Linked DNA regions of Arabidopsis thaliana. The protein of the gene in region 1 interacts with the protein of each later gene in a pairwise test. Each region holds a gene or a part of one and is shown on either strand. Other genes may lie near its edges.

Evidence for each region.
Region 2: the proteins of GIF2 (region 1) and GRF9 interact in binary tests that used the Arabidopsis thaliana proteins (3 or more experiments, as listed by UniProt).
Region 3: the proteins of GIF2 (region 1) and GRF5 interact in binary tests that used the Arabidopsis thaliana proteins (3 or more experiments, as listed by UniProt).

Annotation. Positions count from the first base shown.
Region 1 is NC_003070.9:70,720-74,953, reverse strand, and holds GIF2 (GRF1-interacting factor 2), read right to left. Parts: upstream 2,598-4,234; 5' UTR 2,372-2,597; coding exon 2,285-2,371; exon of another isoform or gene 2,040-2,284; coding exon 1,938-2,039; exon of another isoform or gene 1,868-1,937; coding exon 1,791-1,867; intron 1,668-1,790; coding exon 1,559-1,667; intron 1,467-1,558; coding exon 1,214-1,466; intron 1,133-1,213; coding exon 1,071-1,132; 3' UTR 858-1,070; downstream 1-857. Other genes in the region: AT1G01170 (ozone-responsive stress-like protein (DUF1138)), read left to right, coding at 511-616, 704-849; AT1G01150 (Homeodomain-like protein with RING/FYVE/PHD-type zinc finger domain-containing protein), read left to right, coding at 2,956-3,012, 3,233-3,913, 3,986-4,114. UniProt on the Arabidopsis thaliana protein: Transcription coactivator that plays a role in the regulation of cell expansion in leaf and cotyledons tissues.
Region 2 is NC_003071.7:18,743,499-18,748,369, reverse strand, and holds GRF9 (growth-regulating factor 9), read right to left. Parts: upstream 3,031-4,871; 5' UTR 2,794-3,030; coding exon 2,568-2,793; intron 2,227-2,567; coding exon 1,756-2,226; intron 1,658-1,755; coding exon 1,472-1,657; coding exon of another isoform or gene 1,431-1,471; exon of another isoform or gene 1,380-1,430; coding exon 967-1,379; 3' UTR 736-966; downstream 1-735. Other genes in the region: AUR3 (ataurora3), read left to right, coding at 1-59, 134-348, 434-506, 602-712; FLA8 (FASCICLIN-like arabinogalactan protein 8), read left to right, coding at 4,311-4,871. UniProt on the Arabidopsis thaliana protein: Transcription activator that plays a role in the regulation of cell expansion in leaf and cotyledons tissues.
Region 3 is NC_003074.8:4,606,264-4,611,232, forward strand, and holds GRF5 (growth-regulating factor 5), read left to right. Parts: upstream 1-1,812; 5' UTR 1,813-2,262; coding exon 2,263-2,461; intron 2,462-2,740; coding exon 2,741-3,272; intron 3,273-3,350; coding exon 3,351-3,805; intron 3,806-3,889; coding exon 3,890-3,897; 3' UTR 3,898-4,234; downstream 4,235-4,969. UniProt on the Arabidopsis thaliana protein: Transcription activator that plays a role in the regulation of cell expansion in leaf and cotyledons tissues.

The DNA.
Region 1 (4,234 bases):
TAGCATATTACAGGTTTTGGTTATAACAATTACTCGAGCTAGACGTATGATGAAATTCAGCAAACTAGTAGATTTGCTATTATATCTTCCCTTGTGATGATTGTAGTTTTGTCTCTTAATAAAACTAGTAATTAACGTTTCAGAAAACAATGCCCATTTTGGTAATTTCACAGAGATTTATCCAAAGTTTTTAAAGAGATAAGACGATAGAGTTGGACGACCGTCTTCCACCGTTGAATTCTTCTGGAACTGGAGTCCACTGTTTAAGCTTCACTGTCTCTGAATCGGCAAAGGTAAACGTATCAATTATTCTACAAACCCTTTTATTTTTCTTTTGAATTACCGTCTTCATTGGTTATATGATAACTTGATAAGTAAAGCTTCAATAATTGAATTTGATCTGTGTTTTTTTGGCCTTAATACTAAATCCTTACATAAGCTTTGTTGCTTCTCCTCTTGTGAGTTGAGTGTTAAGTTGTAATAATGGTTCACTTTCAGCTTTAGAAGAAAATGGCATCAGGAGGTAAAGCCAAGTACATAATCGGTGCTCTCATCGGTTCTTTCGGAATCTCATACATCTTCGACAAAGTTATCTCTGATAATAAGATCTTTGGAGGCAAGTTCTGCTCAAGATTTATCTAGTTTTGTGTGTGTTTTCAAGTTAGGGACGATCTTAATGGTTATCTTCTTGTGAAAATTTCAGGGACTACTCCAGGAACTGTCTCTAACAAAGAATGGTGGGCAGCAACGGATGAGAAATTCCAAGCATGGCCAAGAACCGCTGGTCCTCCCGTTGTTATGAATCCCATTAGCCGTCAGAATTTCATCGTCAAGACTCGTCCGGAATGAGAAAATAATAAGTTCAATGCTTTGATTTTCAGAATAAGATGAACGATGACGATGTTTTCTAAATCCGAGCTTGTACTAAATAACAATACATTACAACACGGTTTGCGGAACTACTCCACAGTCTATCTTCTGTTAAAAAACTCAAACAAGCTATTGCAAAAAGCCCTTACGAGACTCACAAGTCCTAAATATCAACAAAACAAAGCTTCTTTGGATCCTTTTCACTTGCCATCATCTTTTCCTTGTCCATCTGCTCCATCTTGCTTTCCTCCTCTAAGCCCCACTGTTAGCAAAGAAAGAAGTAATGGATACAAGTTACAATTTATGAGATTGAGTATTGTCTTAATAATGTAAAGAGAGTTACCGTTTCCTCCAAGACCGGTTTCTGGTTGTTGCATCGCATGCTGCATCCCGTTGTTGGTCATACCCATTGGTCTAATCCCCATGTGTCCTTGCATAGCTTGCTGATGTATCTGCTGCTGCTGTTGCGGATCCTGAAACTGGAGTGGGCTACCAAACTGTAAAGGACCCCTTGGAGCGAAAATCCCTGCAGGGGATGCTTGTGGGTGTTGCATGAAGTAGCTAGGTGGTTGCATCCCAGAATGCGGTGTTGCCATCTAACAGAAATCATACCCAACAGTAAGCAAACCCCCAAACAACATTAAATTTCTGTGATAGATCGCAATTGAGTTTTATCATCACAAACAACCTGGGCAGCGACAGCTGTAGATGGTGAAGGTCCTGGCGTAGGTGGTGGGGGTTGAGCATCAGCAATTGCAGCAAGATACATCAAGTTCTTCTGGAGAAGAGCTTGGTACCTGAAAATATAACAGAGCAAAAGATAGAATAACTATATAAACCTCACCATTAATAATAGTAATTCTAAGCTTCCATTACTATCTAAGAGACATAAGAAGATGGATAGAAAAGGTGAGACTTACTGGGCGCACTCAGCAAGTTTACCGAGATTCTGGTTTTCCATGATGGCCATAATCAGCTTCTTGTTCTCATCAAGGTACTGCGTTTAAGCAAAGGAAAGAGAATGACAAGGAAATGACGATGCAGCCTATCATCTTACCATGGAAGACATCAAGCCAAGAGAAAGTACAAAACAACAACATCAAGCAAGCATCTAACTTCAATGTCCATTCTTGAAAACCGGATTCAAAGTTTCCTGACCCACCAAGCATCTACTAATTTCCTAGTCCTAGAAACTGTCTCTTCTCATCATCACCAACAACAGACTCTCAAGTGTTGTGGAATTAACGAGAAAGATTCAAATGAAAACCCTAATTGCCACCAATTACAGTCAAAAGAGTATTACTTGCACTCAGAAGCCAATGATTTTGTCAGTACAAAAAAGCTCTAAGAGCCTCCTAAGTAGTGTTGAACAAATTAAGAGAGAGGGAGAGATATAGGGTGAGAAAGAAGGAACCTTTTGGATCTGTTCGGTAGTGATGTTGTTAGCAGGGGGAATCGACGGAACCATCGGAAACATTTGCGGAGACTGCTGCTGCTGCATCTTCTTCTTCTTTACTACTTACTTTGCCCCAACTAAACCCTAATTTCGTCTTCCCCAAAAAACCCTCGACAAAACCCAGACCGATCCAAACGCAGGAAATGATTGCAAGCTATATCTATATATATTATAGAGAGAGAATCCTGCAATTTATTACTTGGATTCACCTGGATGTCGAACCACCTCTGTGTGGATTTTATGACCAAAAATGCCTCTGTCTCTCTCTCTCTCTCTCTAATTTGTCTTTACAAAACTCTAAACGAAAACATAAAACATTAATTAATACAGCAACGAGCAACCTCTAACCAAATTAGAAAGTTTTGGATATATTTGGGCCAATGGGAAAAAAGGACATATTTGGGCCTAAGACGGTTCTAAGGCCCATGGACCATCGAGAAAGTTACATTGCAAAGTACTACATTGAGTCAGTTTCTTCCTTCTTCGCCTAAATTCGAAATTTCGAAACCTCAGACACACTTACAGAGAGACCAAACGGTAACATACAGTAGCTTCTTTTTCTTATTCGTTAAGAAATCTCACGTAAACCCTTCGAATTTCTCAAATCTTCACTCGGAATCTGAAAAAAAATGGTGAGTGATCTCCCGCTTGATGAAGATGATATCGCTCTCCTCAAGAGTCCTTATGTAAGCACCCCTTTTAGAAGAAACCTTTAATTTATTTTTTCTCGAATTTTAGTCTTTACTCGGATGTCGCTTGTGATACGTTAGAGAACAATTTGATATTTTTTACTGTGTAATTAGAACAAATTATGTCTTAATTGGTCTTAGATAACCTTAAATTGGTCGATTTAGTTCAATTTTGTGTAAACACTCTTACTTGGATTTATCTTCTTCTCTATCTTAGATAGGTGAAATTGTTGAAGAAATTGGCTTTGTGAGAGAAAAGCGCATTGCTCATTGTATTGTTCAGTGTGATGATGGTGGTGATGAGGACGTCAACTCTGCTCCAAACATTTTCACTTATGATAATGTGCCTCTTAAGAAGCGCCACTACCTTGGGACAAGTGACACTTTCAGAAGCTTTGAGCCGTTGAACGAACACGCATGTATTGTATGCGATATTGCAGACGATGGTGTAGTACCTTGTTCTGGGAATGAATGCCCTCTCGCTGTTCACAGGAAGTGTGTTGAGCTTGATTGTGAAGATCCTGCAACCTTTTACTGTCCCTATTGTTGGTTTAAGGAGCAAGCTACTAGATCCACGGCTTTGAGAACAAGGGGTGTTGCAGCTGCGAAGACCCTTGTTCAATATGGATGTAGTGAGCTGAGGAGTGGAGATATAGTCATGACGAGAGAAAACAGTCAACTAGAGAATGGTTCTGATAATTCACTACCAATGCAACTACATGAGAACCTTCATCAATTACAAGAACTGGTCAAGCACCTTAAGGCTCGAAATTCCCAGTTAGACGAGTCAACAGATCAATTCATTGATATGGAGAAATCTTGCGGAGAAGCTTATGCTGTTGTTAATGATCAGCCAAAAAGGGTACTATGGACAGTCAACGAAGAGAAGATGTTGAGGGTAAAACCACCACACTTTTTTCTTGAAATACACTTTTAGCTTAAACTTATAGTATATGTTTATTTTGGATAGGAGGGAGTGGAGAAATTTTCTGATACAATCAACAAAAACATGCCTTGGAAGAAGATTTTGGAGATGGGAAAAGGTATATTCCACACAACTCGTAATTCCTCCGATCTTAAGGACAAATGGAGAAATATGGTGCGTATGTGATTCCTTTCACCATAAAATCCTTAGAAGTATTAAATGACGCATTTGATATCAAAAACATTAAGACAAATCCTAGTGACCTTTTGAATTGGCAGTATAGTAGTGTGACGA
Region 2 (4,871 bases), on another chromosome or scaffold:
ATGGCAAATGTGTGATTCATAGAGACATCAAACCTGAAAATTTGTTGCTCGATCATGAGGTATGTGTGTATGGTTATAGTTTTTGCATTGAGAACTCAGGATATGCATCATTGGTATTGTCATATACTTGCAGGGGAGATTGAAAATTGCTGACTTTGGATGGTCAGTTCAGTCAAGTAACAAGAGGAAAACAATGTGTGGAACCTTGGATTACTTAGCACCTGAGATGGTAGAAAATAGAGATCATGATTATGCAGTTGATAACTGGACCTTAGGCATACTGTGTTACGAGTTTCTCTACGGTAACCCTCCATTCGAAGCCGAGAGTCAAAAAGATACATTCAAGAGGTAAGAAAAGACTAGACTTTTTATCTTTTGTAGAAAATTACAGAAGCTCAGCTCCTGATGACGTTTTGTATTCACTGTCATGCAGAATTCTTAAGATTGATCTGAGTTTTCCTCTTACACCGAATGTTTCAGAAGAAGCCAAAAATCTTATCAGTCAGGTACACACCCAACCAAGCTAAAGCATACCCACAACGACTCTCTTGCTTGACTAGTTATTAAGCATTAACATATAGTTGTTTTAAATCTTTTGCAGCTTCTTGTTAAGGATCCCTCCAAACGACTCTCTATTGAGAAGATCATGCAACATCCATGGATTGTCAAGAACGCAGATCCGAAAGGTGTGTGTGCCTCAATTGATATTTGATGTATTCTCTCCCAATCTCAGGAGTCAGGACAAGTAGCTTATATGTAATTTAATGTTATGAGACTAATGTCTTAGAAGTTTAGCAAAAGCACTTTCCATGTGATATATTATCTCATTTCAGCACAATATAATCTTAGCTAAAATTCGTGTCTCGATATTTTTTTGTGATTTGACTTCTTCTAACATCTAACACAGAAAGATCCTTAGATTGAAACTAAAAACATCATTTGAACCTCGACAACATTTCTATGTTTCTAAACACCTGGTGAAAACAAAGACAAGTACTCCTCATCGTCGTCTTCACCCCTTAAAGCTGTGTCAGTAATGGTAGTGTCGGTACTGCAACTGCTAGTGCTCTTCTCATCAGAAACTCGGGGCAGTGTAATTCCCATGACTGAAACAGAATGCTTCTGGTCATCTCCATCTTTGCAAGGCACAACCGATCTAACAGCTGTTTCCACGGTTAACGGGCTAAACCCGGCATTCTCATGTGAGTTAGTAGTATCAACTGGATGCTTCTTCTTCATACCTCTATGCATGTGCTTATCGCAGTACTTCTGACCAGACAAAACATCTTTGCTGCATCTCCACTTCTTCCCATCTGTTCTTCGGCACCTTCCTGGTTCATTGTCTGTTTCAACTCCTTGTAAACGAAAACAACCACGTTCTACAACGAAGAAGCAAGATATAAGACCCAGAAGGTCATGTCTGAAAATCCCTATGAAATGACGATAAGCCAAGGTTGCAAAGGTAAAATACCTTGAAGAACAGTGTCTGGAGAAAAGTGGATACCATGAAACAAACCACCATTAACATTCATATTCTTCCATTCTCTGCTTCTTGCAATTATATCATTCTTCCTGTTGCTTGAGAATTTTGCAGCTTCTAAGCATTTATCAGATACCTCAGGGAAGAACTTTTGAACCGAAGGTTTGCTCTCATCACCTAGTAATGAAATAATGGAACCTGGTCAATCCATGGAGCAATGAAGAAATGAATTCTATAGATATTTTTCTGTTGTGAGTATGATGGTATCATGATACCTTGAAGAGGAACAACTCCAACACACATACTCGCCTCTTTTTCATTAATAAAGTCATCATAACTCATCTCCATGTTCTTTCTGCCGTGACTCACACTTTTGTTTGTGAATTCAGAGATCACTAAAGACGGACGAATGACATTTTCACAGGATCTGGCACTAGGCAGTGAAGCAATGGTAACTACCTGCGCATTACTAGAACCCGAGATTGTCCCATGAAGATGACTCTGACTCTCGTTATACCTATCCAAACCATAAGTGTTGTCGTATTTGGTTGATGATGAAGCAACCTCAGAAGAAGATTCCACAAGCTTTCTTGAACGTTTACGACCTCTATGCATGTGCCGTTCACAGTACTTCTCGAATAGAAGGACCGTGTTGCTACAGCGCCATTTCTTCCCATCTGTTCTCCTGCACCTAGTTGGTTCAGTTTCCAACGTGTCGATATGGGTTACTCCCTTGTTACTCAACACTGCAACTCAATCCCCAATAGGCACAAAATCAAATTCAGTCAACAGAAGTTTGTTGTGTATGTAAATCTTTTAACTTCTCCAACTCAGAACCCAAAAGCCAAAAACATGTTCAGGAAGTTAAATAAGCACAATAAAACCCATCAAGCATTTCCACAACAATACCCCAAACTTTACAACTGTTGAATCAGAACATAAACTTCTCTAGATTCTGAGGTCCAAGACTTGTCGTTATGTTGTCTAAAATCTTCTAAATTGTGTCTTTTTCTTACCCTAGCTCAACTATCACGCATATACTCCTAAGAATTTCTTGAAAAGAAAACTCGAATGTCAAATTACTTACGAGAAGAAGAGTGATAGTTGTAATTGGAGGAAGAAGAGAGAGCAAGACTGTTCCAAATAGGCACCACGAGATGATGAGGCACACGGAGACCAGCCTCTATGTATCTATACACCAAAGCTTGCATCCGAAACTCCATTAACTGCGCCGCCTTCATCCACGGCCACTTATTCCTCATCCTCTCCTCCTCAACCTCCTCCTGCTCCATTTTAGGGCTCTGCATCTTCATAACAAAAATTGGATTTTTGGGGAAGCTTTATTCAATTCCAAGAAAAAGGAGACAGCTTTTGAAACTAGCGACACAGAGAAGCAAAAACCCACCTCCCAAGAAGAAAAAGCTTTAACAACAAAACCAAACAGATACTAAAATCTCTTGCTCTGCTCGCTACTGTTCAATAGAGAGAGAAAGAGTAAAAGAAAAACAGAGGAAAGACGAAGAGGCGAGTGTGAAGAGATTTAAAGGCAGTTGTCAGGTTTCTGACAAATGCGTCAGCGTTTTTCAGCCTTATTTGAATACTTTTCGGACAATAAAAAAAGTTGAGTTTCCCTCTTTAAACAATGCCACAGAGAGACTGTTAACTCCTCTGTCCAGCTGCTCCACTATACATCATTACATCTCCACGTTCTTATTCCTCTATATGGGCCCATCTTATCATAAAAGGCCCATTACTACTACTCCATTAAGTTGGGCTCTACTCTTCTTCTTTTTTTTTTTTTTTTTGCTTTAATGATTCAAAATTTGTTGCTTCTCATTGGCCTTTACTTATAACATTTCTCTTTCACCTGATGCCTTTTCATCTTGGTCACATTTTTGTATTTCTAAAATCTATATTTTTCAGTAGGCAGGAAAATAAAAACAGAGCAAAATACTTTATTTTTATTTATAGTATATAAGGAAAGTTTGATCATGTAATGCTTGTATCATATACTCACTCACTAGTGGTTTTTTAAATATTGTCCACACGTGTAAAGTAATGCTTTAACAGCTCTAAAAATTCCTATAATGGGAAGCAGTGATTCAATATTGGTCCTCACCGAATTGTGGATAATTCTATTTATATGTAGAACATGAACGTCGGCAACCGAAATAAATATATAGAATTTGAATCATACATATTATACTGTAGATGATTACATAATATCAATACTTTTATATTTATATGTATTGGTCTTTATATATTGTTTTCTACTATACGAAATGTCAGGTTTGAATCATTGTTGAGTAAGATACATATTGTATTGGTCACTACACCAATCCACAAACAATTTATGGTATATAAAACATTTTCGATAACAAAATAGATAGCATTACTGAATACACTGACCACCACATATAAAACTCGACACTATTGATCAATTTAGATGAAGAAAACGAGAAACAATCTCCAGTGTTTTATTTAGGCCAAACAAATATCTAAGAGTAAAAAGAAGCCCAAATCTCTAATTTTTTGGTGTAATATAAACAACAAGACAATTAAATGGAATGGCCTCTTTTCTTCTTCCAGCTATGTCCGAAAAAGAACACATGGCCCCAATCCAACCCAACTCACTTCTTATAAACAACACACATTTCAAAAATATAAAGGCAAAATTAACTCTAGTCAAATACTCTAACCTAACCATGATCAAAATTTAACCGTGGTTAACAATCATCCTTCTCTTTTAACTTCATCTCTCTTCTCACTCAGTCTTCTCCACTTCCTCTGCTCCACACTGACACTTGAAAAAACTCAAAACCGTCTCATCATGGCGGCGTCACAGACATTCTCACTCCTCGCCTTCACTTTCTCCCTCCTCGCCTTTGCTTCCACCGTGAGTAGCCACAACATCACTCAAATCCTCGCTGATTCTCCAGATTACTCTTCCTTCAACAGCTACCTTTCTCAGACGAAGCTCGCCGACGAGATCAACAGCCGCACGACGATTACAGTTCTCGTCCTTAACAATGGCGCAATGTCTGCTCTCGCCGGAAAACATCCACTCTCCGTTATTAAAAGCGCTTTAAGCCTCCTCGTCCTCCTCGATTACTACGATCCACAAAAACTCCACAAGATCTCCAAAGGCACAACTCTCTCCACCACACTTTACCAAACCACCGGAAACGCTCCCGGAAACCTAGGATTCGTCAACATCACCGATCTTAAAGGAGGCAAAGTCGGATTTGGCTCCGCCGCTTCAGGTTCCAAACTCGATTCATCTTACACCAAATCCGTTAAACAAATCCCTTACAACATCTCAATCCTCGAGATTGATGCTCCGATCATCGCTCCCGGAGTTTTAACCGCTCCTGCTCCTTCCGCCTCCTTG
Region 3 (4,969 bases), on another chromosome or scaffold:
ACTAAAATGGAAATATCCCTTGGTCCAAAGGTCTTTCCACCTTCTTCTTCATAGCTTAATCACCATGATTATGATCATATATATCTTTGACCAACCAACAAGAGTGGAGCTCTAACTAATATGTGTAGGTACCATCTTACATATCTCCATATACGCATGCATATCATTTTCGAACCAATTTAGAAGGTGATGTATATAATCAAAAGTATTTAGGATGATGGTTTATCGCGTGAACACCATTTTGTTTAAGTACGTGGTCATCGCAAGGTAACCATCTTTATTTTCTTGGGTTGATCTTCACTAGCTATATATTAACCAATTACATATGTATTATTTTGTACTGAAGAAAGGATATAATTTGTAATCGCCAAATGATTGAATTAGTATTTGCTAATTACAAAAATTTGTAGAAATCGCGATAATTATCAACTTTTTTACTATATCCCATCATTCTACTATTACGCAATGTTATCAATTGTACTAGTTTGTTTCATCCACTATGTAAAATCATTCAAACCCTAAAGTCGATGCTCATCAGCTCATGTATATGTATGTATCATGTATATGTACATAAGATATAAAACCTTTATAGATGTGCATGTAAAAGAATGGTAGATAGTAGTAGTAGGTGTGTAAGGAGAAAGATCTAGGGGGCTTCAAAAAAAGGAGAGAAAAGGACAGAGCATGTGAAAAGAGACAGAGAAACAAACAGAGGAGTGAACAGTCTTACTCTTTTTTTTTTCTATGCACTTAATGAACCCAACCCTCTCTGTATATTTCTGATTCTTCACATGTCTTCCTCTTCTTTTTTATTCCGAAAACTTTTCTTCAGTAAAAACCAATGCCGAAAAAAATACATAATAAAAACGACAAAATATCTAACATTTTTTATATAAAAAGGACAAAAGTACTTTCACTTCACTTGCAACCAAACAAACCTAGTCCCCTTCTTTATCCAATGGTCTCTCCCCTGCTCTCTATTTCTCATCTAAACACCCTTTTCTTTCTTTCTTATTTACCATTTTGCCAACTTATGTAAAAGATGTTAAGAAGAAAATGTGAAAATTTAGTAAAAATCTCTCTTTTGTATTGTCGTCAGAAACTGTAAAATAATCTTACTCTTTTTCAAGTCAGCATATAAGTTTGGTTTCTTCTCCCGAGTCAGAGATTCGTGCAGTGATGATACAAGAAGCTTATTCCGAATTCTTTTCATAAATACTCGTATTTCCTTCTTCTTTTTTTTTTTCTTTTTTTTAACATCTATCTGTTCTTCTTGCATCTATCTGATTTTCCTCTGTCTTTTAGACAGTAATAACAGAGCTCACTAAATGTAATAAATAAAAAAATGAGCTCAATAAAAAGGTAAATGGCACTCATTTTTAGGCCATCAAGTGTTGGGATACAGCTGAAATTAAAAAGGCGTCAGCTCAAAGGAAAAAATAAATAAAAAAGATTCCCAAAAATCAATGCACTTTTATAGAAAAAAATACACATAATTTCAAAAAATACTTAAATTTTGAAAAATAAGATGAAGAAAGGATTGAGAAGAGAGGAAAGAGTAGTCAGAGAGACAGGAGCATCAAGTGCTGCAGAAGAAGCAACAGGAACACTGGGCCTGAGTCTCTTCAGATTTGCCAGTCTTTATAGGACCACACTCTTCTTCTTCATCCCCCTTACATACATTTTATCTATTTTTACATTTTACAATATTGGATATTTTAATGTTGTTTTGATTTTACACTACATGGCAAAACTCCTTAAAAGCTCTTGTCCTGATGTGATTCTTTTTTCTTTTCAACACTGTCTAAATATCTCTCTCTTCTTTGTGATCACTCTTTGATTTATTAACTTTCTGATTACCATTCCCCCCAAAATAAACCCTACTAGAGTGTGACTAATTGTATAGTAATCTCTATTGTGTAATAATCTTTTATCTTTCCTCAATACAAAAAAGTAGGGTATATATATAAAAGAGGGAGTGGCCTCGTGTAGAGAAAGAACCTAGCTAGTGTTCATGCAATTTGCATCTGAGGAATATATGCTTAGAAAGAGAGAGAGAGAGAGAGAGAGAGAGAGAGAGAGAGAGAGAGATATCAAACCAGAGGAAAAGAGTGACAGAGAAAGTGGTCATCTTTGTCTGTCTCTGTCCGAAACTCAGGAGCCCTAATCTCTGAATCCATCAAGAAAGCTCTTTCTCTTCCTTCTTTTATGCTTCTGAATTTGCTACATATATAAACTATCTGAAGAAAGCTAGAGAATAAGATGATGAGTCTAAGTGGAAGTAGCGGGAGAACAATAGGAAGGCCTCCATTTACACCAACACAATGGGAAGAACTGGAACATCAAGCCCTAATCTACAAGTACATGGTCTCTGGTGTTCCTGTCCCACCTGAGCTCATCTTCTCCATTAGAAGAAGCTTGGACACTTCCTTGGTCTCTAGACTCCTTCCTCACCAATCCCGTAAGCCCTATACCTATACTTAATTTTCTTTCTTTCATGTTTTCTTTTCTTGCATAAAGTTTCAATCTTTTGTTGATTCTCATGCCCCCAAAGTTTTCAGCTTTATGTGTTTTAGAGTGATTTGGTTTCTGGTTAAAGTCTCTAGCTTTTTTTTTCAACGACCACTTTTAAAAACTCAGTTTCCACAGTCTTACTTTTAATGATTTTGGAACTTAAGGTCCTAATTAGGGTTTTACATCATGATTAATTTTAGGGTTTCGTTTTAATTAAATGATGCAGTTGGATGGGGGTGTTACCAGATGGGATTTGGGAGAAAACCAGATCCAGAGCCAGGAAGATGCAGAAGAACAGATGGTAAGAAATGGAGATGCTCAAGAGAAGCTTACCCAGATTCGAAGTACTGTGAAAAACACATGCACAGAGGAAGAAACCGTGCCAGAAAATCTCTTGATCAGAATCAGACAACAACAACTCCTTTAACATCACCATCTCTCTCATTCACCAACAACAACAACCCAAGTCCCACCTTGTCTTCTTCTTCTTCCTCTAATTCCTCTTCTACTACTTATTCTGCTTCTTCTTCTTCAATGGATGCCTACAGTAACAGTAATAGGTTTGGGCTTGGTGGAAGTAGTAGTAACACTAGAGGTTATTTCAACAGCCATTCTCTTGATTATCCTTATCCTTCTACTTCACCCAAACAACAACAACAAACTCTTCATCATGCTTCCGCTTTGTCACTTCATCAAAATACTAATTCTACTTCTCAGTTCAATGTCTTAGCCTCTGCTACTGACCACAAAGACTTCAGGTTCTGTGATCTTATCTTTAGTTTCTCTTGTTGATCTTTTATGGAAACTTTTATTGATGGATTGTTTTTTGAATTCAGGTACTTTCAAGGGATTGGGGAGAGAGTTGGAGGAGTTGGGGAGAGAACGTTCTTTCCAGAAGCATCTAGAAGCTTTCAAGATTCTCCATACCATCATCACCAACAACCGTTAGCAACAGTGATGAATGATCCGTACCACCACTGTAGTACTGATCATAATAAGATTGATCATCATCACACATACTCATCCTCATCATCATCTCAACATCTTCATCATGATCATGATCATAGACAGCAACAGTGTTTTGTTTTGGGCGCCGACATGTTCAACAAACCTACAAGAAGTGTCCTTGCAAACTCATCAAGACAAGATCAAAATCAAGAAGAAGATGAGAAAGATTCATCAGAGTCGTCCAAGAAGTCTCTACATCACTTCTTTGGTGAGGACTGGGCACAGAACAAGAACAGTTCAGATTCTTGGCTTGACCTTTCTTCCCACTCAAGACTCGACACTGGTAATTAATTAATCTGCAGACGTAATCTTATGATCTATGCTAATTATTGATAGTTTCAAAATTAGTTTAAATTTATTTTCTCAGGTAGCTAATTAAGTAGAGCTGGCATCAATGATGGATCTGCACCAACACACACAACTGTGAAATGTTGAAGAAGAGTCACATTTCACATCTATTTCCGTGGAACAATGAGACAAGACACTGTTTGCAGAATCCTATATGTATTTTTTCTATCTTTTTCTATGTGTGTTAGGTCCAACAAGAAAAAGTGATCCGACAGATATATCTGTATGTGTTCTCTTGCTTTCTCAAGAAATCAGATTTTATTTTACTGTCGCTGATAGCAACAAAAGAAAACATGACTTGATTTGTGAGGGGTATCGTTATATATAATTTATTTGTTTCTTAGGATGCAAGCATCTATATAGTTTCACACATATAATCTAGATTTTTTCTAAGGCCATGTTCTGATTAACTTACTTTAAATGTAAAACATTCATGCAGAGGAATAATAGTAGACTAGGTTGCAAATTCTGTAGGGCAAAGGATACGATTATCCGCAATTAGTTAAAGTTTTATATGTAAACACAGACACAAATAATCAATTACTATCTAAATGGCTGTATGTTGAGATTATCCGCAGGTTATGAAATGACGTTACATAGGCCCAAGTCTTGAATCACGCATTTACGAAACGAGAGTATGGTCAAAACTCTACATAATATGGCAAAACATTAAACTTATTATTATAAGAAGAAGAACCATAAATTTTGTTGTCGTTTATAGAAAACAAACAATCATATACAACTTTTGGTGTATGCTTCCTTCCATGTATGTGCTCCTTTAGCAAAAGGAAAGATGGGAGAGTTAAAAGACAAAACGTCATGACTCTTGATCCATTAATCCTTTTACGTGCGTATGAGTACTTGGAATCATTGGTCATTACCAACATTAATCTTATATTTTTAATATAAATCTCATACGTATAAAATATGTATGCTGAGAATTTTTAAAAGCATGTTGCCACCGAAGATTCTGTGAACGGAATAAGGTCCAGATTAAAACCAGCTCATCTTTGGTCATACCAAACAAAAACGCGTCCTAAACACTTTCATAGTAGGGAACAACAAAATCAATATTATCATTCTTCAACCATGTCAAACT